Drosophila melanogaster: one gene and its partners. The gene in region 4 interacts genetically with the main gene of each other region. Each region holds a gene or a part of one and is shown on either strand. Other genes may lie near its edges. The genes, in order: mbc, drpr, Sos and Ced-12.

Evidence for each region.
Region 1: of Ced-12 (region 4) and mbc, changing one enhances a phenotype caused by changing the other (phenotypic enhancement), as found in Drosophila melanogaster (one study listed by BioGRID).
Region 2: of Ced-12 (region 4) and drpr, changing one enhances a phenotype caused by changing the other (phenotypic enhancement), as found in Drosophila melanogaster (one study listed by BioGRID).
Region 3: of Ced-12 (region 4) and Sos, changing one suppresses a phenotype caused by changing the other (phenotypic suppression), as found in Drosophila melanogaster (one study listed by BioGRID).

Annotation. Positions count from the first base shown.
Region 1 is NT_033777.3:23,778,928-23,785,563, forward strand, and holds the start of mbc (myoblast city), read left to right. Parts: upstream 1-2,837; 5' UTR 2,838-3,412; coding exon 3,413-3,461; intron 3,462-6,636. Other genes in the region: Nup98-96 (nucleoporin 98-96kD), read right to left, coding at 1-1,897, 1,958-2,237.
Region 2 is NT_037436.4:1,726,886-1,733,658, reverse strand, and holds the start of drpr (draper), read left to right. Parts: upstream 1-2,551; 5' UTR 2,552-3,134; intron 3,135-6,773. Other genes in the region: Oseg4 (outer segment 4), read left to right, coding at 16-314, 370-2,070, 2,139-2,331. UniProt on the Drosophila melanogaster protein: Receptor which is involved in the phagocytosis of a variety of cells including apoptotic cells, severed and pruned axons, degenerating dendrites, salivary gland cells, germline cells and bacteria.
Region 3 is NT_033779.5:13,811,192-13,820,846, forward strand, and holds Sos (Son of sevenless), read left to right. Parts: upstream 1-2,624; 5' UTR 2,625-3,022; coding exon 3,023-4,114; intron 4,115-4,167; coding exon 4,168-4,525; intron 4,526-4,587; coding exon 4,588-5,510; intron 5,511-5,574; coding exon 5,575-6,423; intron 6,424-6,485; coding exon 6,486-7,376; intron 7,377-7,444; coding exon 7,445-8,078; intron 8,079-8,143; coding exon 8,144-8,187; 3' UTR 8,188-8,633; downstream 8,634-9,655. Other genes in the region: Adat1 (adenosine deaminase, tRNA-specific 1), read right to left, coding at 1-259; CG16865 (uncharacterized protein), read left to right, coding at 454-574, 635-795, 861-1,166, 1,288-1,443; CG16888 (uncharacterized protein), read right to left, coding at 1,534-2,043. UniProt on the Drosophila melanogaster protein: Promotes the exchange of Ras-bound GDP by GTP. Functions in signaling pathways initiated by the sevenless and epidermal growth factor receptor tyrosine kinases; implies a role for the ras pathway in neuronal development.
Region 4 is NT_033779.5:12,095,191-12,102,349, forward strand, and holds Ced-12 (Ced-12), read left to right. Parts: upstream 1-2,647; 5' UTR 2,648-2,760; coding exon 2,761-2,872; intron 2,873-3,165; coding exon 3,166-4,176; intron 4,177-4,236; coding exon 4,237-4,788; intron 4,789-4,851; coding exon 4,852-5,351; 3' UTR 5,352-5,649; downstream 5,650-7,159. Other genes in the region: CG6712 (uncharacterized protein), read right to left, coding at 46-1,230; Mt2 (methyltransferase 2), read left to right, coding at 1,396-1,456, 1,506-2,482; patsas, read right to left, coding at 6,058-6,249, 6,305-7,159.

The DNA of each region.
Region 1 (6,636 bases), on a different chromosome or scaffold from region 4:
TTGGGAGTTGCGCCTTTGGGTCGAGATTGGGGCGTGTTGGGAGCACTGCCAATAGAGCTAGAGGGATTTCCACCCTCTACACTTTTTACTTTGGGTTTGATAACTAATCGTTTAGCACTGGGCTTCAGATTGAAGCCCTCTACAGAAGCATCAAACTCCTCGAGACCATCAAACAGCGATTTTCTATTAAGTGTGCTGCCCAGCGCCTTTACCTTCATTGGAGCAGGATTGTTGCTGGTACTTATCTTGTACTGGTTGCTGGTCAGGTCCAGAACTGCTTGTTGGGCAGCAGGATTTGTAGCTCTTGTTGCATCTGCTTCACTGCTTAGCTTTAGATCCTTGAAAATCGGAGAGTCTCCGTAGGGAGAAGTTACCCTAGCTAGGATCTGCTGATGAATGGGCTGGTGTGAAGGCGTCATGATACCCAGTGTGGGCTGAGCTCCCATAATACCACCAGTTAACGAGTTGTTTGTACCCATACCGAAGCCTCCTCCGCCCAAGGAACCACCGACACCTCCGAAACTGGTAGTTCCTCCTCCAAACAGTCCTCCCGTTGGGGCAGCACCCGTGCCACCCAAGGTTGTAGTACCTCCTCCAAAAAGACCTCCTCCCGGCTTGGCTGTATTTCCGAAAAGTGATCCGCCCGTGTTGCCTGCGTTGAAATTAAGTGGTGCTGCGCTGGTGGCTCCAAAACCTCCGAATCCGGACGTTGCTGGCTTGTTCAATCCCGAGTTAAAAAGGCCTCCTCCCGTTGCTGCTGTACTGGTGTTCAGGCCAAAATTTGAAAACGGAGTGCTAGCCGTGGAGGTTGCGCCGAAAGTTGGAGCAGCAAAGCTAGTGGCGGGCTTGTTTCCGAAAAGGCCTCCGCCGGCGGTGCTTGTTGCTGGAGCTCCAAATCCAAAACCTGTCGTGGCTGCTGATGCAGCCGTTCCCAACCCAAAGGCTGATTTATTTGGATCGGCGGCTGGTGTGGCACCAAAAAGAGTTGACTGTTGCGTTGCTCCGGCTGTGGTTCCAAAGCCTCCGAATCCTGTGTTAGTCTGTCCGAAAGCAGGAGCCGCACTGGTAGCAGGTGCCTGACCAAAGAGGCTTCCTCCCTGTCCAAAAGCAGGCTTCGCCCCAAATGGATTTGAAGCGTCAGCTGCGGGAGCGGCAAACGGAGTGGTGGTGGTGGCTCCAAAGGGCTTTTGCAGAAAGTTGTTTTGCTGGGTTGCTGCTCCGAATGCATTGTTAGTCGCCGGTTGTTGGCCAAAAGCGGTGGTGCCAAACATGCTCTTATTCTCGGTCACAGTTTGGCCAAACAGACCTGTGCTTGGTTGGGCAGTGCTTCCAAACAGGCCACCACTTGCAGGCTGAGCGGGCTGAGTAACCTGAGCTCCAAATCCAAAAGCTCCCGGAGCATTCCCAGCCTGTGGACCCTTGCGCCCGCACATATAGTCTTCCAGGCGGAGCTCCTCCAGAGATTTGCCCTCGAACTCCTTCATAGCCGTGATGCAGTGCTGCTTAGTGTTCACACTATTTGCCTGACCGCTCTTCATCAGGGTATCTGTACCAATGGTTGGCTGGTACTTGGCCACGGCCGTGCCCGTATTGACTCCGGAAGCTCCCACGGCCGTAGCCTGAGGTTGGGCAAAGGCGGAGGCGGTGCCACTGCCAAAAACATTGGTGGTTGTAGGCGCCGACGTCCCAAAGCCTCCGAATCCTGTTGTACTGGTGGCGGCAGCCGGTTGGCCAAACAAAGAGCCCGTGGGCTGAGCAGCAGCTGTTTGCCCAAAGGCCGTCATAGTCGGCTTGGCGGCTCCAAAGGCGGGTAGCGTCGATTGTCCAAAGAGGGAGGTGCTTGCCGCCGTCTGGGTGGATCCAAATATGTTCGAGGTCTGTTGCGGCTGCGAGAAGGCTGCAAAGAAGAAATTACTAAATTAGTAACATGATACCACTTCAAATGATCGTGTCTAACCTCCAAAAGCCGTGGGCTGAGCTGTGGCAGTGCTTCCAAATCCCGTGGACGTGTTTGCCCCGAATAAGCCTCCGGCGGGCTGAGCTGGTGTGGCTGCCGCACCGAACAGTGACTGCTGCGCGGGTTGGGCGGCAAAGGTGGAGGTGTTTCCAAAGGCCGGTGCGGCGGGTTTGCCAAATGCCGACTGGCCAAACGGAGTGGTTGTTGTGGTGCCGCTGAATCCGCCAAAGCTGGTGGCCGCCGGAGTGGCTCCGAAGCTGGGTTTCGCGCCGCCAAACATTTTGCTCGCTGCTGCTGCTCAGATAACAAACATATACTAGGTAGATCCCCTGCTTTGTCCTTCGCCGGAATGCCAACTATCGCGATGAGCAATGCTTCGATTTCACCACGTTGGGCAAGCTGGGGCGGCTGCGCCGGATGCGAAGGTTGTGGGACCGGACAGGCTTAGCTTAAAACAAATAAACACTCGCGAATTTGTCAAGTCAGCAGGAGTCGACCGAGTCTGACGCAAAAAGTGGACAGAAATGGCGCGCCGATTTTTTCACGATGTTGAAGAAAATGCAGCCAAAAGTGTGACCAAGGCGTGAAATCGCATGCAAAAATACACTGTAAAAAAGCAGGATACAACTGCCAGGCGCATAACTATTGACCATAACTTATTTATGGTCTTAATAAAATTTTTGCTTGGTGCCTCCGAAGCAAATTTACTATGAATGTGTGGAAAATGTATTTTATAACTTGGGTTTCTCGTATTTTGTAGGTAAGCTCGATTTTCACATTTTTATGTGACCGTACTGCGAACAAAGTGAAAACCCATTTGACATCAACGGTGTGAACACGCTGTAAGGGGCACTCTATATTTGATATTTTCGATTGGGAACAGTACGGTACTTCTGGGCATCGAGCACGCTCATTCACAACAAACAGTTGAAACGCGCGGGTTGTTTTCCGAGAGCGGTTATTTAATTAATTGGCAACTGTCACACACGAGTGTGTGTGCGATCGAGTGCGTGTACATGTGATAATTAGCTGAGCGGCAGCGGCCAACTCCCAGCCCAAATACAAGTCGAGAACAAAACGAGCGAAAAACGGCGCAAAATGCATTTGCGGAGCGACAATTTGTGCGGAATGCTAGCTTTTGTGCAATAATTATTTATTGGTTGCAATTGTCCAACCGGTGTGCTTTTCGTCGAAATCTGTAGCGAAATCGGAGGCGAAATGCTTGTGTTGGCGGCATTGTGAAAACGAAATCAAAATTTCAACTACGTGTTGCTCTTTTGCCGTTGCCTAATTTAATGTCTTGTTGTTTTTATTTTCGCAAACGAAAGTCCATCGCTTTGCATGTGTGAGTAGCGATCGTTTGTCGCCGTGTTGGTGGTAAAAGTCGGCGCAAAAACAACAATATCAGCAACAACACTAGTAGAAGCAACAACAACGAGAAGAAAAGCCTTCAAGATGAGTGTGTGGAGCGACTGCAATGCCAAGCAGGCAGAATTCGGCATTGGTAAGTTGGCAATGCGGCTATTAAGCCGATAAATTAGGTAGAATATGGCTAGGCAGGAATGTTTAAACAAAGTGCTTTGTAAACAACAATAAAGGAAAACTTTATGAACTGTTGGGCGCTCTTTTCCAGAGCACACCTCATCTCCACCCCCACCTCTCTCTCTAACTCTCTCTCTTATTTCACCGCATGTGTGTGCCTCCTGCTGCGTTGCTACGGTAAAACTTGTTGCACCTTCTCGCTTGCACACGCTCACTCGGCTGCTGTTGATCCTCCCTTTCCCGCTCTCACTGTGTTGTTTCGTTTTTCATTTCATTTCATCCTGCTCAGTCAACACTAGCATAAAATTCTGAGATTTGCTCTTGAAACTAAAACCTGTTTTCTATTGTCTCTCTCGCTTTTCATACTGTCTCTGTCTCTCACGTGCAACTGCAACACACTGCCAGAAAAAAGGCCTGGTACACATAAAGAAATTTTATACAATTAATGTAATTTTACATAAACTTAAATCTGAAGTACTACAACATTAGTACTACAACTTTTACGTATTTACGGGTGTGGGATTTGAAACCTGGTCTTTGTAAACCCAAGGCAAGCTGCATCAAGCTGACAGTAGAAATGTTTATTTTCTGTGTACACTGTGAGACAAATCCCAATTCAATGGCAGTGACCATGAAATATCTAATCGCGACCCGCTTCGAATGCGTGTGAATTTTTTATGGATCTCGTTTTGTTGACCTTTTCACCGCTGATCAATAGATACGACAGGTACATAAAGTACAGGTACCTCTAGTCCCAGGTAGATCGAGTGGAACTGGGAATCTCGTTCGTTAACACTCGAATGGAGCTTGCCGGTGTGTTTGCACTTGTTATTTACACACGTTTGCCTCTGCCTCTGCCCTTTTTTGTGTTTGCGCGTTTACTAGCTGTCGAAATCGCTGCGAGTACGAGTATCTGATAGTACCATTGGGGCGTGGCCAGGTGGACGGGGGTAGTGGGTGGTGAGCGGTGGTTGGTGGTATAATGTAATTAAGCGCGATAATATTTGGAATATGGGGCGGCAGATAAGTTAGTCGTTGGCATTGAGTAGCGAATTTGGCCTTTGTAATGCGAAAACGACTTACAGCATATACGAAATTCAAAAGAAACTCCTTATCAATAGCAGTTTGATGTATTCTTGTCTTATCGCTGTTTTCCATTCTGTTTGCATACCTTTTGTTTGCTTCAATTTTCAAATTCTAAGCAAACAGCCGGTTGCCCCACATTTTGTAAAAATTTTTTAAGCCAAAAGATTTGCTTGGCAGCTCATCCATTTTGCGTATTATTTTCGAAATATTGTAGTTTCTCGAAGGCAATAGCCATTGAGTAATCGCTTTATCACTTTATGGGCCCCATTCGAGTTATCGTTTATCGATGTGTGCCTGTGCTTGTGGGTGGCACTCAGCTGAATTGAATTCCGTTGAAGTGCGAGTGAGTGAGCGAGTTAAAGTTAAGTCCTCGGCCTCCTGCATAGCGGTAGTCACTCGCATATAAAAGATCTGGTGCATACATACATATTTTTCGTATGCTGTTCCCACTCACTCCTTTGGATGAGAATGCTGCATCTCCCTGCTCACTCACCTCCATGCACAGTGGGATGATTCCTGAAATTTACCTGAAATATATATAAAAGTAAACCAAGCGAATAGCCACAAAATGAAGGGATGTTTACTCATAAAAGCTAATTAACTTCCATCAAAAAGGCTTTTCAAATTTACAATTAACAAAACCATATATTTAGGTAACTAGTATAAACTAGCATAATTTGATCAGCTTAGTAATAATTGTTTTAATCCAAAACGTCCACTTAGTTATTCTAATTGCCCCACTGTGCCGCATATGCTTTTGAAAGTTTGCCTGCGGTGACATCTTCACTTCATTGCTGCACTACTCCACTGTTCATTGCCTCTAGTTGGTGTGCACCTGCAGGGCTCCCCATTTCCACCCAGACACTCGGTTTTATTTACCCACTCCACGCAGATGCATTCTACATTTAAATTTGAATAGCAAAAACAACAACCGCGGTAATAATAAATACAACAACATCAAATGGAGGGAAGAGCTCACAAAGTAAACGTAAAACTTAATGATGCCTGAGAGTAGTGAAAAGTGTAGTGGAAACCCATGCCGAAAGAATATATATACAGAGGGGATGGGATGGGTTGGTATGGAATAGAAGGGGGCCTAGTTGATTTGGTTTCTGATTTCAGAGTCTGGCTTTTCTCAATTTAATTAAAATTTTCCACTCCGTTAGAGTTTAAGATGCATGAAACGCCTTTTGATTTGCATAATTTCAAAGGAAAGCATTTTTCCTAGTCCATTTCCACACACAACAAGTGAAAACTTAATCAGATTTGGAAGCGAGCCGAAAAAAGATCTGCTCATATTTCTAACCTAATAAAGTTGGGTTACCATTAAATTGTATCTACTAGATTCAAAAAGTCAAGGATTTTGTAACTGTGTTACTTATAAACAAAATATAGAACTTAGCAACTAACCCTGTAATCGGCTGCCATCTTTAATGTCTCTGCCTTTTGTAATTTTGAAGATAATGTTGCTTAACCGAATAAGAGTCCCCCGATTCGTCTTATCACGTGGCAGATGCCCTTCCTTCGGGGCGGCTGCATAATTGTTTGCTCTGCTGACTCAGATCGGGGAACACTCATCCCCGGACTTTACCCTCACACATGTACACATGCACCATCCTCCATCAACTTCGGATAGTTGAGCAACCGCCCAAGTGACTCGCACATCCACTTGTGATTCTGATTTCAGTTGGATCGTCACCCCAGGAACCCTCCACTATCAGAATACACTCCCCCTTGGCAAGCGAATCTCCACTTTCCATTTCGCAATCAAAATGGAAACTCAATCGCTTCCCCCATTCCAAGTCGCAACTATTCATTCCACCCCGTTTCGAAGATTGCCAATGTCGAAGATTGTCGCATCTTTGGTTTCCCTTCTATGCTAATTGACCAACTGCAATCTTCGATTGCTCTCGGAAATTGCTTAATTAAACATAAATTGCCTGCCGCAAAGAGCAGTTATGGAGATCGAATCCGATCAGGGAAAGTGAGCGGGGAAGCGAAAAGGGGGGCAGGGGGAGGTGGCCGCATCATTGGGGCACAGTGCGTCATCC
Region 2 (6,773 bases), on a different chromosome or scaffold from region 4:
TTGATCTCCCTTCAGAGTGCCTCCACCCTGCACAATGTGAAGGCGCGCAAGGAGAAGCGGTTCCATATCGACGACACGCCCACGGGAGTGGAAATGGCCAAGGACCTGATGCTGAGCAGTAGCAGTGGCGATGGTCACTCCACGCAGCGGGGAATCAGTGATCCCATCTGTGCGCTGGCACTCTCCGAGAAGCTGCTCCTTGTCGCCAGGGAATCCGGCGCTATCAACGAGTACAGCATAGCAAACGTGGCTCTGAGGAACCGCCACCTGATGAACGCCAAGGTCTACAAGATGGCTATCAACTGCAATTCCACGTGGGTAGTCCACCACACTCCCTTGATACTAGTAATATTTATACTCCTTACTTAGACGAGCCGCCATTATCGACCATATGGGCGTGATGACCCTGCTCGACCTGGACGACAACAGGGAGACCCAACTGAACTTCAGTCGGGTGGAGCGCAAGGACGTTTGGGCCGTGAGCTGGGCCACGGATAACCCACTGCTGCTGGCTCTGATGGAGAAAACGCGCATGTATATCTTCCGGGGCAATGATCCCGAGGAGCCCGTGTCCTGCTCCGGCTACATATGCACCTTCGAGGACTTGGAGATCACCAGTGTCCTGCTGGACGACATAATCAGCGTGGGTGAGCTGCAGAATTTTTCGCATATCATTCAGCTGAGGGTAAAGTCCCTGCGCGATACCGACGATCTACTGGAGCACGTGGGACTGGAGGATGCCAAGCAGTTCATTGAGGACAACCCGCATCCGAGGCTCTGGCGACTGCTGGCGGAGTCTGCGTTGAAGAAACTGGAACTGGAGACGGCGGAGAACGCCTTTGTCCGTTGTGCCCACTACCCGGGCATTAAGTTGGTCAAGAGACTGCGCACCATACACTCCAAGGAGCTGCAGAGGGCGGAGATATCAGCCTTCTACGGAGAGTTCGAGGAGGCGGAGAAGCTCTACCTGGACGCGGATCGTCGCGATCTGGCCATAGAGCTGCGCATGACCCTTTGCGATTGGTTTCGCGTGGTGCAGCTGTACAGAATGGGAGGATCGGGAGTGTCGGACCAGCAGATGGAGATCGCTTGGCGGGAGATTGGCCACCACTTCGCCAACCTGCGCTCCTGGGAGAGTGCCAGGGAATACTACGAGAAGTCCCACTACCTGGAGGGTTACATGGAGGCTCTGTACCACTTGGAGCAGTTCGACGACTTGGAAAAGTGCGTGGAACGGCTACCGGAGAAGAGCCCGCTGCTTCCGAAGCTGGCCGAGATGCTGGCCTCCGTGGGCATGTGCTCCGAGGCTGTTCAAGCCCATCTTCGATTCGGCGACCAGAAGGCCGCCGTCGCCACCTGCGTTAATCTCCGGCAGTGGGGCGAGGCTGTTGAGCTGGCCCAGAGGTTCCAGCTGCCCCAGGTGCAAACGCTCATAGCCAAGCACGCGGCACAGTTGCTCCAGGAGGGACGCCTCAAGGAAGCCATCGAGATGCAGCGGAATGCTGGGCGTCATCTAGATGCAGCTCGCCTGCTTTCTCAAATGGCGGAACGGGAGCAAGAGAAGCGTGCTCCGCTGCTGAGAATCAAGAAGCTGTACGTGCTGGCTGCTCTGCTGGCCGAGGAGCACCTCAAGGCTGTGGCCACGACGGAGATCGACTACGCCAGCGGCAGGAACACCCTACTGGACTCCATTGCCCTGGAGGATGCGGCCGCCATCGAGAGGCTTTGGCACTGCGCCGAGGCCTACCACTTCATGCTCCTAGCCCAGAGGCAGCTTCGCTTCGGGATCGTCCACAGTGCGGTGGTCACTGCGGTGAGGCTGCGCGACTACGAGGACGTCCTGCCTCCAGAGCACATCTACAGCCTGTTGGCACTGGCCAGCTGTGCGGATCGGGCCTTCGGAACCTGCTCCAAGGCTTTCATGAAGTTGGAGCAACAGGCTCATCTTCCCGAGGCTACCCTTCAACGGTACGAGGAGTTGGCGGCTGGGATCTTCGCCAAGTACGATCCGGAGGACACCACTGGCGATAGGGTGGATTGCTATTCCTGCGGAGTGCCCGTGCCAGATAGGTAAGTGAAGGGTCGACGTCAGAAGCTGGATTATAATGATGATACTCATGGAATGCCGATCCTTTCAGCTCCCCCTCCTGCCCCGAGTGCAATGCTCGCTTCCCGGCGTGCATCTCCTCCGGGAAACCCATCACCCAGCCGACGAACAACATATGGATCTGTACCACCTGCCACCACTGCGCAGCTCCCACCGAGATCTCCAGGCACCGAACTTGCCCACTGTGCCACAGTTTGATCGTGTCCATGACGGTGGAGATCTGAAATGAGCGGGGACTAGTGTTTTAATTACTCCAGCTGTTTTTCATTCTGCTTATCCCAGGTGGTACAGGCGTATCTACTCCGCAAATAAACAATGTAGTTTTAAGATAGAATTCAAATTTATTTTCAAGTGAAAAGTGTTATAAGTGGAAAGAGTGACTGTTCACAGTGAGTATTTCCTGGGGAGTGCGCTAGGGCCACACTACTAGCTCATCCAACACTCGCAAAGCGGTCACACTGGCGAGTGCAGCTAAGTAAGTCGGTTGTCCGTTTCTTGCTGAATTTTAAATAAGTTAAATAAATTTCTGCTTCGTGCGGTGGTGTGCGTACGCAAATATAAAATAAAGTAAATAGTAATTGCGGTGCTTGCGAAAACCAAACGAGCTCCAATTGACCGACGAAAATACTTAAGTGCATTAAAGAATTGCGTTGTTGTGCGTCGCGCCCGTTTGTCCTTATTGTTGTCGTTAGTGGAGTGCACGAAAAGTAATTGTTTTTATTTAAAGAGGTTGCATTTTAATTGCTAAATCAGCTCAGTTGCGAGTAGAGTGCCAAAATAGAGAGTAGCGACAACGAAAACAAGTTTTTGTGGATGGTGAGAAAGTAAAAACAATAGCAAATTTATATATATAGCTATATATATATGTGGTAAGGTGCTGTAAGCATTTAAAAATACAAATCCTCTCGAGGTTTTAATGGCCAAAGTTTCGTAAACGTGTAAATTGAGTGGAATTCGATTGCGAGTGCATTCTTGGTTTGTTTTGAGTGAGAACCGAAAACCAGTTTACACCGTGCTTCTTGCCAAGGTGAGTTTTAACCCCAATCGTGGCAGTTTAACGTTAATTTTAGTCATTGTTATGTTGTTAAAAATAAGTTTTCTTCTGTTAAATGTGCAATTTCGCCTGGTTAGCTTTGTCAGCTCTCTTTCCCTTCCACCTTTCTTCTTTCCCAACGAGCGGTTTGTTTATGACCGCAGTAGTGCACTTGTGTGCGTGTCAATTAGCGCTTTTATCGGGCGCACACCAAGAACAGTTAAACCTGTTCTGGTTTCTCTTTCGCACAATTTAATGGCCTTTCTTTGGCTTTAGTTTTGCGCTTTCGTCGACTTCTTCTTCTTTGTATCTCATGCATGTATCTTTATATCTGTCATTCGGGGAATTGGCAGCAAATCGGCAAACTTCTCTTTCATCGACCCCCTGCGACCAGCACCTCGCTCCCTGGAAACCCGCATCTTGTGGATTCTTTCCAGTTTCCAGATTGCTGCTGAAGCTTCCAGCTGTCACAGCCGCAACAACAACAACGCCAACGGATCAAATGAAAACCCAGCCAGCATAAACTCACACACATCGAAATTGCCTAACTAACGCACACATTAAAATACAGTCGATGCATCGTCACGAAAATAAATAACAATAATAGCCGTTTATAATTTAGATCAAGTCGCAAAAAATTTTTTTGCGTTTAATTCTTTATGAGTACTGATTAAGGTATCAGTTCAGCGATATTTCATATTACTTCTGAATATGGGGGTGCACACAAATTAAGATATATGTAGAAACCGTTCTTATTTTTTATAGAATTCATTAAATAAGTATGGAATAAACTGCGATCATATTTCCCATACAAAGCATTTTTATTTTTCACACAGTTTCCTTAACCAAGCGATTTTAAGCTTAACCTTATATTTCTGACACTGGCAATGGAACTTGATTTTTATTATCATACGTGATTTAATGAACAATGACGCCTGCTTAGGACACGAGCTTCGAAATGCAATGCACAGCGAAAAGTCCCACAAGCCATTGCAAAATTAAAAACTGAAATGGCACTCAGAGGTGCACTCTCCCCACCCTCGGTATCATATCATATCATACCATGCCGTACATGTCACAATGTCTGTTTAGGTTCCTTTATGGAGCCGGGCTTTGTCGTCGCCATGATTACTCAGCTTTATTGATAATGCTGGGTGGAGGAGTGGCAGGGAGTGGCTGGGATGAAACCTCCTGGGATTTCTTGTCCAATGTGGCGGTGGTTAGAGAGCAACCCATGAGTCGGGATGTTAGTTTTCCCCTTATGATTACGACATTCTCTGTTCTCTATCTTTTCGCTTTGGGTTTGCATTATCCAACATTTTTCTTTGCTTTCTCCGTATTGTTGCAAGTGCATTTCGCTTTTGCTGATGATTATGCTTAATTCTTGTTCGTCTGTCTGCATTGCAATGTGTGGGTGCCTTTCCACTAGAATAATATACACATGTTTTCTTGGTTTTCAGCTGAAATCGGTTCTCTTCGCTGAATCAATCGAGAAAGCTTCTAGCTCTATCCAAATTCGGGCTAGAAATCCGAGCTTCGCCCGCTAATTGGCCAATACAAACTGAGGTGTTGAGTGTTTGGCTCACTTGTGAAATGAATACGAAACAGCTGAAATCACTGTTTCTCACTGATACTTCATAATGGCAGCTAACATCCATCCCAAAATAATAACGTTTGAGAACCCTTTGCCTCTTTGCTTTAATTAAACTGTTCACTGAAAGTTTTGATTGGCCTAGCATTTACGTAGTTCACAAATGTAAGACCCTAGACCTCGTGCAAACTGATATTCTTTCAATAATTTCATTTCCTGGGCCAGAACAACTTGTTTTTATACCAAATCTATTTCTTGCCATTGAAATCGTTTATTATTCTTAATAATCGTTTTTGCCAAATGTGCTTTGTCGCCTCGCCAAGGCGTTAAATTGCCCACTGAACGCCAAACATATGCGTTGCGGTTATTGGAGATGTGTATTGTGGATTCAGTAAACTCGACTTTGATTTCGCTATCCAAAGTACAGCTCAAGTGAGGGCTCCTCCTTTGTAGAATAATTCTGTTTATATAAAGCGGGAAGCGACAATCTTTGTTTAGCCTTTATCAAGTGCGCAGTACTTGAAGTTGGGGGAATAGCTGGCTCATTTTCCCCCTATGCTTAAGATTATAGTAATCCAAGTCAAATCCAGATGTTTACATATGCACTGTGCTGAATCAATTGAAAATACATCACAAAATATATACACACAACTTGAAGAATATAAGACCTACTCTTAGCTCTGATGGAGGTTTAATTGGAACGAAAATAGGCAATGCTTATACTTTATAAAATACATATCATTCTAATTGAATGAAATAGACGAATGCCATTGAGTTTTTTTAACAACAAAGCTTTCTCCTTAGTCCGAAAGTATTTCGCAGATTTTCTTTGGTTTGTTTTTGTTTTGTTTTTTTCTTTCGAAAGCTTTCATCGAAAATCAGGAAATTAGTCATATATAAGTACCTACATATGTATACATTATAGACAGATTGCCAGCGGAAACGGACTCGCAACTTACTTCTAATCAATCTTCTATTACCTTTGCTAACATTTTATGGTTCTCCCTCAACTTTTCGTTGACCCCTTCCGATTAAGAACCACTATCAGTGTGCCTCATCGTGTTGTTTCTGCTTGTCCAATACTGGGCGCAGATAAGGGCGAGGTATGATAAATATGAGGTGTGCCAAAAGTACACACATATTGGGAAAGGTCTGAAATACAAACCTGCGAATTGAGCGGTAGATTGACCCGAAGTTCGAGCCTTAGCCAGACTTTTGTGAATGAAATCCGAGTGACTCAGCATTGGAACAGATGCTGGGTATGCGGTATCGATGAATGGTGCATGGATTCGATACTCGATAAAACAAACTGTGCCGAACACGTTTTCCATTGAAAAATCTCGCACACTCGCCTATTATACATACAACTAACAGATCCGTATAGTTTATAGACTATAGTCTAGCATTGTTTAACCTAAGGTGACTCATCCACGACATATTCATTTAGCTCATTAAAACACCAATCAGGCATGTAAACAAATAAGTAAATTGCAAATGTAAGCTCGTTGTCTCGTGCAAGTTCGCATTTTAATATGATCTACATATGCGGAAGGGAAGATTGAGTGGCAAAATGAAACTTAATGGCAATGGGTTAGAGTAACACCCTAGTTTATGGTTAATATTTTTGATTCCAAAGGTTTATACTTTGTTTGAAAAACGTGGACTCTGCTAATCGTTAAAATGAAAGATTTAGCATTCAAATTGCAAATTAAATTAGACCGGATTGTTTGGTTCACACGATTTCGTTGTCCATCGTAAATTTGTATGATGTTACGGGATGATTTGGTATTATTCTATTAGTCTTTGTCCATGACCGGATTACGCACCTTCCGTTCCGTGGATCTGCTTATATATAGAGAGACTGAATTAGTCACCTACAACAGAACAAATATCAGTGAACCTCATCGCTGTTGTAATGGATGAGAATGACTGCGGCGGTCTTATCATCCACCCTTATCACTTGTAAAATCTTGAGCAAAGTCGAGGGGTATGCCAAATGGTTATCTCTTTCTACTTTAGGTTATATTGCCCCAGTTGTATAT
Region 3 (9,655 bases), 1.7 Mb from region 4:
ATCCACGACGTGCCAGCACCTCGGCATGGGAATCATTCAGGATGAGGCCATTGGGACAAAGTTTGGATTCTCCAATGCACTTTGTTCCGCATCCAAGCGAAACTAGTTGACATGCTTCCGTGTTCCGGTTGAACTCCACGATTCCCGCCAAAATTGTCCATTGATTGGCTGTGGGCTTTCCTGTTTTTGGCAAGGACTCGAATTTTTTTAAACAAAGTTCCGCAATTTCCTTAACAGTCGGTTTTTTGTTATCACACATTTTTGTTTATATTCGCAAATGTGCGAACCGATAAGTTCGGTAATCGAATAGCAATATCGATTGGCGTGTTGCATTGTTTACCTTTTGCTTGCACACTCTGGTCTCACTGTTTATTTATTTACTTGCGGTGTTTAATGAAATAGGAAATTACTTTAATTTTATAAGTTTCATAAGTCCGAAACCCACAAATAACCATGCCCAAAGTAGTGTCGCGCAGTATCGTCTGCTCCGATACCAAGGATCAGGAGGAGTACAACGAGGAAAAGCCGCTAAACATTTACTACTGTCTGTGCAACAAGATGGCTCTGATTCTGGGTAAGATTACTGGAGCCAACTAACTGAAAGCATAGTACATCATGTTTGCCTATCCTACAGATTGCACCCTCGAACAGTTGCCGCTACGAGAGGTGGACAACGCCCGTGTGATAAACGCCAACGACCATGCCAACAAACTCACCCACAATCCCACACCGAGGATGGTCTACATCAAACGCAAGAGCAGGGGCAATGGGATCGAGAAGCAGTACCGCTACAAGGTGAGTAGCTGACTTCCACTCCTTACCCGTCATTAGTTCACCTAATGTTTTCCTTTAACCTTCAGTGCCGAAGCTGCAGTCTGCCGCTTTACTATCGCCACAGTCCCGACTCCCACGTAACCTTCGTCATGTCCAATGCCCTAATCCGCAACAAGGGTGAGAGTCCTCTCACACAGCTGCTGAATTCGGAGATCAAGGGCAGTTTCAAGGCACCGGCTGCCAAGCCAGCGACTTCCGCCGGTCCAGACGATTCGGGTATTGTGGATGCCAGTGGCAAGAAGGTCGTCGTCACCAGACACACGAAGAACATGGGCAAGTTCAGCTCGGTCACGGTGTCTACCATCGACGAGGAGGAGGATGAAATCGAGGCGGTAAGTTTGTCAGCTAAAGTTGGTTTGTAAATGGTGCAGGAAATCCAATCTATCATTGCATCATCTACGAACAAACCTACAACTCTTTCAAACTAACCATTTTTTTTGTTCATTCAAACAGCGCGAGATCGCAGACAGCTATGCGAACAACGCAAGGATTATCGAGAAGCAACTGCAGCGCAAAGGCGGAAAATTGAGCGATGTGGGCATCAAAACCAAGACAGAGGACGCACCTCCGCCGCAGAAGAAGCAGCGCGGCACGCTACTGGAAAGATAGTCACACTCTGCCTCCTTATTACCCACAACTAAATATATTTGACGACACAAATGGCTGGCATTCTTGGAAGAAAAATTGCAATTTATCTAGTTATAGCATACGCAAATAGTTTGACCTTCTATGCTGTCGTTTTGGCAGCAAACTGGGATGCTGTGCCAGTAGCTTCTTCAGTCGCTGCTCGGCGTGCTGGTGATTGAGAATCGAGTCCTTGACAAGCCCACAACTGGGACATAGATTGTACTCCGACTTTGACTTTTTGACGATCGCTGGACGCACGCGAGTCTCCATGATCAGCTTCATTCGATTCGTGGTACGCGGCGAGTTGTGCAGAGCAGTGAGTGGACGGCACTTACTTCTTGGCGAGGATTCGGTCCGTTCCAAAGCAGCCTTCTCCTTGCTCCTGACCAGCTCGAGTGCACGATTCGCTCGGGCTTTGGCCAGCTGCAATTCGAGAGGCGCCTTTGGCAGGTTAAAAAAGAAGTGGGTCCACTTATCGCGCAACTGTTCGATGGCCTCCGAGTTGAATAGTGAGCTGGAACGATTGGAGGTATGGGGTCCCCATTCCGCGTTCCCGATGCAACTCAATCTATAAGCGGACATTGAAACCTGAAGTATTATACACTGAAAATTTGACAACAAAGTAAAAGTGTACATATATGTGTATATGTATACTATATACCGTATAGTTATGGTTTTTGGATGGATTGTTTTTCAAATATATAATTATACGAGGGTATAGAAGCTTCGACTTCTGGAAGCTAGCTCCCTAACTGTTTTTGGTTTTTGTATTCTGTTGCATTGCATTGCTTTCATATGTTTAATTGTTTCAACTGAACACATTGTACTTGTTTTCGATTTAGAAGCGTTGAAAGCGGATGTATCTTACATTATCCAAGTAAAATAAGGGATGAGTCGATATGTATGTTGCATATCTCCTTACGATTTTAGATAAGGAAAGACATTTTATAAATATAAATATAAATTTCTTGAAATATAAACATTGAAGAGATAATTAAATTCATTTTTTTTGGGTAAATTATAATATATTTTAAACCTGCTCGTTGCAATTTAAATTCAAAATGCTTCTTCTTCTGCTAAAAAAGCCATTCAACACGAATGCTCTCTACATTGGATTTTTTAGTACATTCTTAAGCATCGAATCAGGGCTGGTCGCGAGCATTTACTGGATTTAGGCAGTGCCGCACTCTGGTCACACCGCGAAAAATATTATATTGAGTTGAAGATTATATTATACATATATATATCGAAGATACATATTCTGAAAACAAGTGCTGAAGCCCAAGCGATTTGCAAACGAAACGGACGCGCGAGCCCCGTTCAAGATTCGAAACGAGTTCAGTGCGTGCGCTTGAGTGTGTGTGACTGCCATGCGACGTTCGCCCGGGTGATCCGGCTGTGCCAGGTGCCCCACGGTTCCAGGTTTCCAGTTTCCAGGTTCCGCTCCACTCCACTCGTCGCTGGATTCAGTGCACAACACAGCGGGCGGGGAGGCGGAGGGCAGGCGGCCAACGAAGGTGCTCCACGGCAGGCTCTCGTCGGCTACTCCACGGCGCACAGAATGTTCTCGGGGCCCAGCGGCCATGCCCACACCATTAGCTACGGGGGCGGGATCGGTCTGGGCACTGGAGGCGGCGGCGGCAGCGGTGGTAGTGGTAGTGGCTCACAGGGCGGAGGCGGTGGTATTGGCATTGGCGGCGGTGGCGTGGCTGGGCTGCAGGATTGCGATGGCTATGACTTCACCAAGTGCGAGAATGCTGCGAGATGGAGGGGCTTGTTTACGCCATCGCTAAAGAAGGTGCTGGAGCAAGTGCATCCACGGGTTACCGCCAAGGAGGACGCACTGCTGTATGTGGAGAAACTCTGTCTGCGGCTTCTGGCCATGCTGTGCGCCAAGCCGCTGCCCCATTCCGTGCAGGATGTGGAGGAGAAGGTGAACAAGTCCTTTCCAGCGCCCATCGATCAGTGGGCCCTGAACGAGGCCAAGGAGGTGATCAACTCGAAGAAACGCAAGTCTGTCCTGCCCACGGAAAAGGTGCACACGCTGCTCCAGAAGGATGTGTTGCAGTACAAGATCGATAGCTCCGTGTCCGCCTTCCTGGTGGCCGTGCTCGAGTACATCTCAGCGGACATACTCAAAATGGCCGGCGACTATGTGATCAAGATCGCCCACTGCGAGATCACCAAGGAGGACATCGAGGTGGTGATGAACGCCGATCGTGTGCTAATGGACATGCTCAACCAGAGCGAAGCCCACATCCTGCCCAGTCCCCTGTCACTTCCCGCGCAGCGTGCAAGTGCCACCTACGAGGAGACGGTCAAGGAGCTGATCCACGACGAGAAGCAGTACCAACGCGACCTGCACATGATCATACGCGTCTTTCGTGAGGAGCTGGTGAAGATCGTGTCCGATCCGCGCGAGCTGGAACCGATATTCTCCAACATAATGGACATTTACGAGGTGACGGTCACTCTGCTCGGCTCCCTGGAGGACGTCATCGAGATGTCCCAGGAGCAGAGTGCCCCCTGCGTCGGTAGCTGCTTTGAGGAACTGGCCGAGGCCGAGGAGTTCGATGTGTACAAGAAGTACGCCTACGACGTTACCTCGCAGGCCTCACGGGATGCTCTCAACAATCTCCTGTCTAAGCCAGGGGTAAGTATTGATACCTTCTGTGCGAAGAATTCTACTAAAATCCCTGCTTTTAGGCCTCATCTCTGACCACAGCCGGCCATGGCTTCCGCGATGCGGTCAAATACTATTTGCCCAAGCTGCTTCTGGTGCCCATTTGCCATGCCTTCGTGTATTTCGACTACATCAAGCATCTCAAGGATCTCAGCTCTTCGCAGGACGACATCGAGAGCTTCGAACAGGTACAGGGACTGTTGCATCCACTCCACTGCGATCTCGAAAAGGTAATGGCCAGCCTGTCCAAGGAGCGACAAGTTCCGGTTAGCGGTCGAGTGCGCCGCCAGCTGGCAATCGAGCGGACACGGGAGCTCCAAATGAAGGTGGAGCACTGGGAGGACAAGGACGTGGGCCAGAATTGCAATGAATTTATTCGCGGTAAGTGCTGGCAACGAAAGTTACTTGCATCCTCCAACTAAAATGGTATTTCAAATTTACAGAGGATTCGCTGAGCAAACTTGGATCGGGAAAACGAATCTGGAGCGAGCGCAAGGTATTCCTCTTCGACGGGCTAATGGTGCTATGCAAGGCAAACACCAAGAAACAAACACCATCGGCAGGAGCAACGGCCTACGACTACCGACTGAAGGAGAAGTATTTCATGCGACGCGTGGATATCAACGATCGACCGGACAGCGATGATCTGAAGAACAGTTTTGAGTTGGCACCCCGGATGCAGCCGCCCATTGTGCTGACCGCCAAGAATGCACAGCACAAGCACGACTGGATGGCAGACCTGCTGATGGTTATCACCAAGTCGATGCTGGACCGGCACTTGGACAGCATATTGCAAGACATCGAGCGAAAGCATCCGCTGCGGATGCCCAGTCCGGAGATTTACAAGTTCGCGGTGCCGGACAGCGGTGACAATATCGTGTTGGAGGAGCGCGAAAGCGCAGGAGTGCCGATGATCAAGGGAGCGACGCTTTGCAAGCTAATCGAGCGCCTCACCTATCACATCTACGCCGATCCGACTTTTGTGCGCACCTTCCTCACCACATATCGCTACTTCTGCTCGCCGCAGCAATTGCTGCAACTGCTGGTGGAACGCTTTAACATACCGGATCCCAGCCTGGTCTATCAAGACACGGGCACAGCAGGTGCGGGTGGAATGGGCGGCGTTGGCGGTGACAAGGAGCACAAGAACTCGCATCGCGAGGACTGGAAACGATATCGCAAGGAGTACGTGCAGCCAGTGCAGTTTCGAGTGCTCAACGTACTGCGCCATTGGGTCGACCATCATTTTTACGATTTCGAGAAGGATCCCATGTTGCTGGAGAAGCTGCTGAACTTTCTGGAGCACGTGAATGGCAAATCGATGCGCAAGTGGGTGGATTCCGTGCTTAAGATTGTTCAGAGAAAGGTGAGTAGTTGGTCAACAGCATAATGTGGAAGTATCGTTATCATTTTTCAAATATTATTTACAGAACGAGCAGGAGAAAAGCAATAAAAAGATTGTATACGCCTATGGCCACGATCCGCCGCCCATTGAGCATCACCTTAGTGTACCCAACGACGAGATAACGCTCCTCACCCTGCACCCACTGGAACTGGCCCGTCAGCTCACTCTACTGGAATTCGAGATGTACAAGAATGTAAAGCCGTCTGAGTTGGTCGGATCACCCTGGACGAAAAAGGACAAGGAGGTGAAGAGCCCTAATCTACTGAAGATAATGAAGCACACCACGAACGTCACCCGCTGGATTGAAAAATCCATCACCGAAGCGGAGAACTACGAGGAACGCCTGGCTATTATGCAACGCGCAATCGAAGTGATGATGGTGATGCTGGAATTGAACAATTTTAATGGAATCCTCTCGATTGTCGCGGCTATGGGCACGGCATCTGTTTATCGACTGCGGTGGACATTCCAGGGATTGCCCGAACGCTACAGAAAATTCTTGGAGGAATGCCGCGAGCTCAGCGACGATCATCTCAAAAAGTATCAGGAGCGATTGCGATCCATCAATCCGCCTTGTGTGCCATTTTTCGGTCGCTACTTGACCAACATACTCCACTTGGAGGAGGGTAACCCCGACCTGCTAGCCAACACAGAGCTAATTAACTTTTCCAAACGACGGAAAGTGGCCGAGATTATTGGCGAGATTCAACAGTACCAGAACCAGCCATACTGCCTCAACGAGGAGTCCACAATACGACAGTTCTTCGAGCAACTGGATCCGTTTAACGGACTGTCCGACAAACAGATGTCCGACTATCTCTATAACGAAAGCCTGCGCATTGAGCCAAGGGGCTGCAAGACAGTGCCGAAATTCGTAAGTATAATGCTTCAAAGTTTACAAGTCATATAGGAAATTTAACCATTTTCCTTTCGTAGCCTCGAAAATGGCCGCACATTCCGCTCAAATCGCCGGGCATCAAGCCGCGTCGCCAGAATCAGACCAACAGCAGTAGCAAGCTGTCGAACAGCACGTCGTCCGTGGCGGCGGCAGCGGCAGCATCGTCAACGGCCACCTCAATAGCTACGGCATCGGCGCCATCTTTGCACGCCTCCAGCATAATGGATGCGCCAACAGCAGCAGCAGCTAATGCTGGATCTGGAACTCTCGCTGGCGAGCAAAGTCCGCAGCACAATCCGCACGCTTTCTCCGTTTTCGCCCCTGTTATTATACCCGAACGGAACACCAGCAGCTGGAGTGGAACGCCACAGCACACTCGAACGGACCAGAACAACGGGGAGGTTTCGGTGCCGGCGCCACATCTCCCCAAGAAACCGGGCGCGCATGTCTGGGCTAACAACAACTCGACACTGGCCAGTGCGTCGGCAATGGATGTTGTGTTCAGTCCAGCGCTGCCGGAGCATCTGCCACCGCAGTCCCTGCCGGACAGCAATCCATTCGCATCGGACACGGAAGCTCCACCGTCGCCGCTGCCCAAGCTAGTGGTCAGTCCGCGTCACGAAACCGGCAATCGATCACCATTCCATGGGCGCATGCAGAACAGCCCAACGCATAGCACTGCCAGTACCGTGACCCTTACAGGCATGTCTACATCGGGCGGGGAGGAATTCTGCGCGGGTGGATTCTACTTTAACAGTGCCCATCAGGGACAGCCGGGGGCAGTGCCCATCTCGCCGCATGTCAACGTTCCGATGGCCACCAATATGGAGTACCGAGCAGTGCCGCCTCCACTGCCACCCAGACGCAAGGAGCGCACTGAGAGCTGTGCGGACATGGCGCAAAAGCGTCAGGCGCCAGACGCACCCACAGTAAGTAGCCTCACTTACTTCTAATTTGTAGTAGCAGATGACAGCAATCATTTTACGTATCCTTGCAGTTACCCCCGCGTGATGGCGAACTCAGTCCGCCGCCGATACCGCCACGGCTCAACCATTCCACGGGCATCAGCTACTTGCGACAAAGCCACGGCAAGAGCAAGGAGTTTGTGGGCAACAGCAGTCTGCTCCTGCCCAACACCAGCAGTATTATGATACGCCGCAACTCGGCGATCGAGAAGCGGGCAGCGGCAACTAGCCAGCCAAACCAGGCGGCGGCGGGACCCATCAGCACGACACTAGTGACCGTGTCGCAGGCAGTGGCGACGGACGAACCGCTGCCGCTACCGATCTCGCCAGCGGCAAGCTCCTCGACGACCACATCACCGCTGACACCCGCCATGTCGCCCATGTCTCCCAACATTCCCAGCCATCCGGTGGAGAGCACGTCGAGCAGCTATGCCCACCAACTGCGAATGCGGCAGCAGCAGCAGCAGCAGACGCATCCAGCGATCTACTCGCAGCACCATCAACATCATGCCACCCATCTGCCGCACCATCCGCACCAGCACCATTCGAATCCGACGCAGTCGCGCTCGTCCCCCAAGGAGTTCTTTCCGATTGCCACGAGCCTCGAGGGCACACCCAAACTTCCACCAAAACCTAGTCTAAGCGCTAACTTCTATAACAATCCAGGTGAGTGCTACCAACTCGGCCCGTGATAACGTGTTTCCTAACCCAACCATCCTATCCGTTTGCAGATAAAGGTACGATGTTTCTTTACCCAAGTACAAACGAAGAATAATTTAAATTGCCTGGCGATGTGATAAGGACGAAAACTACGAGTATGATCCGTAAGATTCAAAGTTGCGAGCACTGCTTGAGTGCAGATATATATATGAGAGAACGGAACGTGAGATATATATATATATATATACATATATACGTAGGCGCAGTTTATGTATTCTAGTATGAAACGAGTTGGAACCGCTGATTTAGATTATTCGCCACTCATTTAACAAGGTAGAACAGACAGACAGACAAAATACGCTCTCATTTACACACAACAGGCACGCGCATATGGATAGGAATGCAGGACACACAAACCAAGCAAGCAACCAAGCAACCAACAAGAAATGCAAACAAGAAATTATGTTATTATATAATTACTATTATAAATATTTGTAAATATCGAGAACATTGTATTGATCGTAGAACGTAAAACAATAAAGTATAACCCTATTGTTAGACACTTGGCGACATCTTTCGATGACCAGAAATATAGAGTATTGTAGCCAAAGTCAAGGCAATCTGAGCAAATAGCATAGATTATCAAGGCTTTTCCAACGTTTAAAGATCGTGGGTATTCTTTATGTGCCCAGTGGCCTTGATGAAGTCGACGTGAACCGACATCCGACTGCAACACACCTGACATTCTCGCAGTGTCCAGCATAATCGCAGCCATTATTAAGATTGTGTATATGGCTAATTAGTTTCGGTGGGTTAGGAAAAACTAGAGCGATTGTTGTCTCACTGCATTAGGTGCAATTAAATTGGACACACACATTCGCTTATTGGAAACAACGCGGATTGACTTTCGCTTTTCTAAAACGTCATGAACGTCGAGCACAAATGCTTCCTGAAATTTTGGGCTGCTCGCCGCTGGGAACCGGTTGTTGTTTTTTTGAATTATTTTCGTATATTTGTATATTCGTATTTTCACGCTCGTGTCCAGCCCCTTATCGTCAGTTATTTGGGGGAGTTATGTGTGTGCAGCAGCCACCGTCCCCAAAAAGCGATGTGTCACCTGATGGCGCAGCGATTTGGATCCTCGGTGAAGTACCAGCGGTTACCAGGGTGAATAAACCGAAAGGAATTCCTGGGAAAGACAGACCATCTTTCATGTCCAATTGTGTCCTATGAACACATCTCAATACATCATAGCAGACACTCGGGGAATTTCCGTTGTTGAATTGTGGGGGGTGGTGGTGGGGTGCACCTTTATTTATAGAGCACCATGCACTCCATACCCTATAGACAAGGCCATCGGACGAGCACGATCATATCTATTCGCCATTAGATTTCGCTTTCCCTGCAACACTTGACCAAGATATCGGGAAGCCAGACGACGACCTACACCAACTGGCAATCTATGTATGTAAGTATGTATGTGCCAGTCTGCCATCTTCTCACACAATTAGCAATTGGCCAAAGAATGGAATTATTCAATGCATTTGCATTTAATGCATACTTGATTGCGGCTAATGAGAGAG
Region 4 (7,159 bases):
TTTATTAAGTAGTTCTATACCTAAATACAATGCCTCGAAATACACCTAGAGGAAGAAGCGACGTCGCGACTCCATGGCGTGCCGTTTGTTGCTGATTATCCAGGCATAGTCACCGGTCTTGCTGTCGAATGTGCCCTCCTGCAGGGAACGTAGTTTCAGGGTGAACCGCGGCCCCAGTTCGCGCAGCTTTACGCGTTTTCCCTCTTTGGTGAACTCGTAGCGGTGGTGACGGAAGAATATGTAATCTCGCTGATTGTGGAACGTCACCGCTCGGCGGCCGCGGAACTCGGGATCGTGATGGAAGAGGGCACCCAGCATGCGGCCCACGGTCAGACCCAAACGTGTGGTAAAATTGTTCAGGATCACTTCGGGCCTGTGCTTGGTTATCTCCTTGTGATCGCGCTTTATGTCCGAGGTGAGCTTCACGTTGGACAGCTTGAAGTGGGCAGTGGGACCATTGGGCAGATGAATGACCAGCAGCCCATTGGGCTTTCTGCGATCTTCGTTAACGATCACGACGTCTGTGAACTCCTCGCGCTCGGCGCTTTTGCATATCTTCTTCACCGACGACTTGTTGCGAATCTTAACCAGGGCGTTGGGGAATATGCGCGAAAGCTCCAGTCCAAACTTACGCGTCTTGGTCACCGGATTGTCAGCAAAAGTGATCAGCACCTTTGGCTCGTACGAACGTTCGAAGTACGAGCTGAAATCGTCCAGTTGGAGTTCCTTTTGCAACTCCTCGTTGTCGGAATCGTTCAGATTGGCCACCTCTGTTTGGTCCTTCTCTCGCAGGCTCTCTATGGTGTGACCAGGATTGGCGGGTACACCAGCCTTCCGTCGGGCACGGCGCTCCTGCATTTTTTTCTTGTGCTTCTCCTTCTTCATTTTTTTGTACAACGCCAAACGCTGCTCCTTGTTGCGCATCCAGCTGAGGGGATTCAAAACAGGAATTCGTGTCTTCTTGTCGTCGTCGTCGTCATCATCCTCTTCTTCGTCGTCGTCGTCATTCTCCTCCTCATCGTCGTCATCATCCTCTTCCTTTAAATCCTCACTGGCTTCCCCTTGTTTGGCCGTTTTTTTGCTGCTGGAGGCGGCTTCTTCATCGCTGCTATCAGTGACTGGCCCCTCCTGGACTTCCAAATCCTGTGGCTCCTCCTCGTCAAAGCTGGAATCGCTGTCCGAGTCCTGTTCCACGGGCGGAGGGGCTGTTTTTCGCTTAATTTTTATCATTATTCCGAGAGAATCACGAATTCACAAAAATGCGAGCGGCACGTGTTGATATTCTTCTTCTTATACCAATCACACGGAAACGCAGACAATCTGCTGTGTGGGGCAGTGTTGGAAAACGTGCCACTCACAACGTGTAGTTTGTAAACAAAAATATATTTAATTAAAATGGTATTTCGGGTCTTAGAACTATTTAGTGGCATTGGCGGCATGCATTATGCCTTTAATTGTGAGTTCGTCGATCATGATACATGCGAAACTAATATATACTTTTGAAGATGCCCAATTGGATGGACAAATAGTTGCCGCCTTGGATGTCAACACCGTGGCCAATGCGGTTTATGCGCACAATTACGGCAGTAATTTGGTGAAAACTAGGAATATTCAAAGCCTGAGTGTAAAGGAAGTCACAAAGCTTCAGGCCAACATGCTGCTGATGTCCCCGCCATGTCAGCCCCACACTCGCCAGGGATTGCAAAGGGACACGGAAGACAAGCGATCGGATGCACTTACTCATCTGTGTGGACTGATCCCAGAGTGCCAGGAACTGGAGTACATACTCATGGAAAACGTCAAGGGTTTCGAGAGCTCACAGGCGCGAAATCAGTTTATTGAATCGCTGGAGCGGTCGGGATTCCATTGGCGGGAGTTTATTCTAACGCCAACGCAATTCAATGTGCCAAATACTCGATATCGCTACTATTGCATCGCCCGCAAGGGTGCAGACTTTCCATTTGCCGGTGGAAAGATCTGGGAAGAAATGCCGGGTGCTATAGCCCAGAATCAGGGTCTTTCACAAATTGCCGAGATTGTGGAGGAAAATGTATCACCCGATTTCCTGGTGCCCGACGATGTCTTGACCAAAAGAGTGCTGGTCATGGACATAATACATCCTGCTCAAAGTAGATCCATGTGCTTTACAAAGGGCTACACCCATTACACCGAGGGCACGGGCTCTGCATACACACCGCTTTCGGAGGACGAATCCCACCGCATCTTCGAGTTGGTCAAGGAAATTGACACAAGTAATCAGGATGCATCGAAGTCGGAGAAGATTTTGCAGCAACGCTTGGACCTGTTGCACCAGGTGAGACTGCGCTATTTCACGCCACGGGAAGTTGCTCGTCTAATGAGTTTTCCGGAGAATTTTGAATTTCCGCCAGAAACAACGAATCGACAAAAGTATCGACTGCTGGGAAATAGTATTAATGTAAAGGTTGTCGGTGAACTTATTAAATTGCTGACGATAAAATAAAACAAAATACAACATATTTGCTTGCTTATTTTCACTTTAATACATTTATTAGCTAGGAAATTACTCTGCGCTGTTATCATTAAAATATTTATTTCAAATCCACATAATTTTCCCGCCCAGTGTTGCCTATGCCACAAAACGCAACGGTTGTGTGCTGTGTGATATTCCATACTACTTGTCAATTGGTCACACTGCACTGAATTAAAAAAAAAAAGAATATAAGTTTACGCAGAAAAACAATAATAATTGCAATTATCGCTAATTGAAAGAGTGCCAAAATGATACCAAAAAAGACGACGGTTAAGGATTCACACATTGTGAAAATAGCCGTGGAGCGAGAGGACCATATAGCGCAGTTGATAAATCTGGATCAAAGGCATCCGCTGGCAAGTGAGTAAATAGCGGATAAAAACAAAGATTTTTCGCTTGCTGAGCAGCAGTTTTAAAGAGAATCTGCTTTAAACATGTAAAACAAAGTTCCAAGAAGTTAATAAACCAGAATTATGTTGAAAGTAGCAAAGGAACCCATCATAAGGGAGGAACTTCCAACCAACGCCCTTCGCTATGTTTAAGTGTTATCGTGATGTCAGCGCACTCATTTCCTCTTTCTCATTTATATGCAAATCATACAATTGGTCAGGAAGTTGCTATTTACAGCGTATTAATGCCGCCTTCGCTTGCAGGTAAAATCCAGGAAATTTGCAATGGTTGGTCCATCAGCGATCACCAGAACTATGCACTCCAGTTCTACGAGCCCACTAACCGAAAGTACGTGACCGAAAAGAATCGCAATGAGATCAAGAATGGCTCCGTACTGCAGCTGCAGTATTCGCCATCCAAGACTGCCTGCGATGCCATGGAGGTGCTGCTCAATGGCAGTCCACAGGAGAAGGCGCTGCGTCTAAAGGAGCTCACTTCCCTAAGCACCGATCACACATTTGCCCTGGAGTTCATCAAGGAGAAGGGTCTCGACACACTCATTAAGATGATTGAGGATGGCGGCCAGACCAACGAAGACATTCTGAAATACAGCCTGGCCAGCTTTGTGGAGCTGATGGAGCACGGCACGGTGTCCTGGGAGGTGCCGGAAAACTCATTCGTGGCCCGCAACATTGAGATCGTGCGAAACTTTCAGAAATATCCTACGAACTGTGGTGAGAGCGCCCTGTCCAACTTGGAGAACATTGTTATGTGCAGCAATAAACATGTGCTTGTTGCCGAGGACATCAAGCTGCAGGATATTCTCCGATTGCTTCAGGATGTCAATTCGCCGGTGATGCGACAAAATGCCATAGCCCTGCTGAACGCTCTGTTCGTCAAAGCAGACGAGGGCCGCCGCAGGACCATTGCTCAAACTATTAGTGCCAAGCAGTTCCGCCTGGCCCTTATCGGCAATGGACTGGGCACAGAGATGACCCACCAGCTGTACGTGCTGCAAACGTTGACTCTCGGCCTGTTGGAGAAGCGCATGCGTATGAAGATGAACGCGCAGGACCAGGACGCGCACGAGAAGATCAAGGAGCTGCGGCGCATTGCCTTCGACGATAATACCAACGCTTTGAATCAAAACGACGATCACATCCGTCGTGGCGGTGGCTCCGGAGCTGGCAATGTCAACTTCTCGCAGTACTACAAAAAGCTGGGCTTCAAGTGCGATATTAACCCTGCCCAGGATTTCATTGAGACGCCGCCGGGTAAGAATATGTTCTTATATTAAAGCTATTTTGGTTGATAATCCGAAACGTATTTCTCAGGTATATTAGCGTTGGATTGCATGGTGTATTTTGCACGCAACTACACGCAACAGTATGCGAAGATCGTCAGGGAGAACTCCTGCCGTGCGGATGAGCACGAGTGTCCCTTCGGACGCACCTCCATCGAATTGGTCAAGGTGCTATGTGACATCCTTCGCATCGGCGAGCCACCAGCCGAGCAATCCGGTGACTTTCAGCCCATGTTCTTTACGCACGATTCGCCGTTCGAGGAATTCTTTTGCATATGCGTCATTACGCTGAATCGCACATGGAAGGATATGCGTGCCACTGCCGAGGACTTCAGCACAACCTTCAGCGTGGTGCGGGAGCAGATCCAGCGCACTCTAAAGGGCAGACCCGAGAACCTGGACGATTTCCGAAACAAGATCGCTTTGTTGACCTATCAGCAGATCACAACACTGCGCCAGCAGGAGCGCACTTCGAAGGAGGAGTGTGATTCCACAGCTTCGGCGATTGTTAAGCTCAAAGAGAAGATATCACCGCAAATTCTTGAGCTAATCAAGCAGCAACGGCTCTCTTTTCTGGTGGAAGGTACAATTTCTAATAAATACATTTCAAGGGCAATCTTAACATGGATAAATCTTGCACTTATAGGTACACATTTTGCAAAATACTTGCGAGGCACTCGAACAAAGGACAAGTTCTGGTACGCTCGTCTTTCGCCGAATCACAAGGTGATTCATTACGGAGATTGCGACGAGAAGACAATACCCACCATGGAGGAGTTGCCCAAGAAACTGCCCATCAGTGAGATTAAGCAATTGCTAGAGGGCAAGGAATGCCCGCATATGAAGGAAACTCGCATTCGGAAATCGGCGGTAAACCTGGCCTTTTCCATCACCTTCGAAAACATGGAGCACTCTACGTTGGACTTTGTGGCACCCGACGAAAGCATATTCAACTACTGGACGGATGGAATAAACGCGCTGCTGGGTCAACCGATGGTCAGCAAGCAAAAGAACGAGGACTTCGACACTCTGCTGTCGATGGAGATCAAATTGCGCCTGCTGGACACGGAAGGTGTGGACATCAGCAAGGACCCACCGCCAATACCGGAGGATCCCGAAAACTATGATTTTTGCTTTGAGAGCTAAGCATAACGAGCACAATTACTTCACGAATTATTCGATTCATTCTAGACTCCCCCATCACCCAAGATACATGCCAAAGTGTACACACAACATAATCGTATTCTCCGATCTGATCTTCTACTAGTATTACTTGTGCAATTCCCCGAACACAAAATGAACAAACTGGTGACGGTCACGTCCAAGTGACTAACCGCTGCCTAGCCATTTAGTGAACTTTACACCATTTATGATTATAATAGGTATATAATATATAGAGATCATTAAATAACACATTTTATACATAACAATTTTGTACAAAAACTAACAAGAGAAGCGTATTCTTATCCAAGCCTAAAAGGTAATTAGTTAGTTAAAAAAAGCAAAAAGCACGGCTGGCCGATGCTTTGAACACCATTGCGGAAGGAATTGATTTGGAGCCGTTAACAATAATGGAATCTTAGCAATGTAATTTATTGATGCTCTGAATTGCACTTGGAATTTGCTATCGATTTGTCCTTCCGCAAGGATATGTTGATTGCAATTGTAAATGATAAAACACGCACTTGACGACCTTTGGTTCGAACTTTAAAGCATTCGAGTAAGCAGTAAGCCTGCGGAGCAAAACCAAACTGGCAGCCTACCCGAGTGGGTCTCTGGCTGCCTCCTCGCAACATTATCCACGCACGGGCAGCTTGCGCCGGCGAGCAGGGGCTCGATCCTAGATCCTTAATCAAATGTTATCCTCCAGCAGGAGATCGTTGTCATCGCCCCGGTCCGGCAGGCAGACAAAGAATTCGAGTAAATTCAGGATGGGACCACGCGAGAAGGGATTCTGATATCGTCCGCGTTTGTCCCGCAAGTAAGGATAACGCTTGTAGTTAAACATCTCGTTTGTGGTGAGATTCATGCAGGCGTGCAGGATCTGCCAGTGCAAATGATGTCAAAACGATTAATATTTTTGGAAAAGAAGCACTTACCGAAGTGCATGTGAGTATCCAACCCAAGCCGCAGAACACAACCGCCTCGATGAGTCCCAGCACATAGAGCATCGTGAAGCCCTCGATCATCACGCAATAGCAGGCAAAGTAGATGGTGAACGAGCAGTTGACGGCCACCGAGAGGACGAACAGGAAGAACCACATTCTGTTCCTCAGTCCCACGCAGTTGTAGATAAAGGGACAGTGGTGGTCAAAGTACGAGACACACCGGTTGCACACGCGGCAGTGTTTGGCTCGCAGCGGCCGGAGGCACCTGCAGCTGTGACATAGTCGGGTTAGCATCACATTTCGCTTCTTCAGTTTGTCGAAGTACGGAATCTGCTTGATGGCCCGGTAGTAGGCATCCGAACTGAGTGGTATATACCCCGGATCCCGGCGATTGGCAATGGCCCAGCTTATCCACATTACGGCGTTCCAGTATATAAAGCAATAGTGCGAGCGTCTCAATATGTTCCACGTAATGGGAATCGCACGGATCATGTACATGGGATAGCCCCAAAGTAGCACAGAGAAGAGAAATAGAAACAGCGGTCCCTTGGAGTCTCCAGCTCCGCCAAAGAGCCAGCCCCAACTTTCCGAGACTGAGGGAATCCAACGGGACTTCTTCTTCACCTCGCCGTACAGCAGGCGCACCACATCCTGGTGCTGATGAGCCTGTGCCAACATGATCGGCGTCTTTCCATTCTTGTCCCTCGGTTCCAGATCCAGCTGGGACTTCTCGCACAGCAGGCGAACGCACGTCATGTTACCAGACAGGCAAGCCAGATGCAGTGGAGTCGATCCAAAGTTGTCCGTCTTTTGAAGCTCAACGCCGGAATACATGAGGAGTCGCAT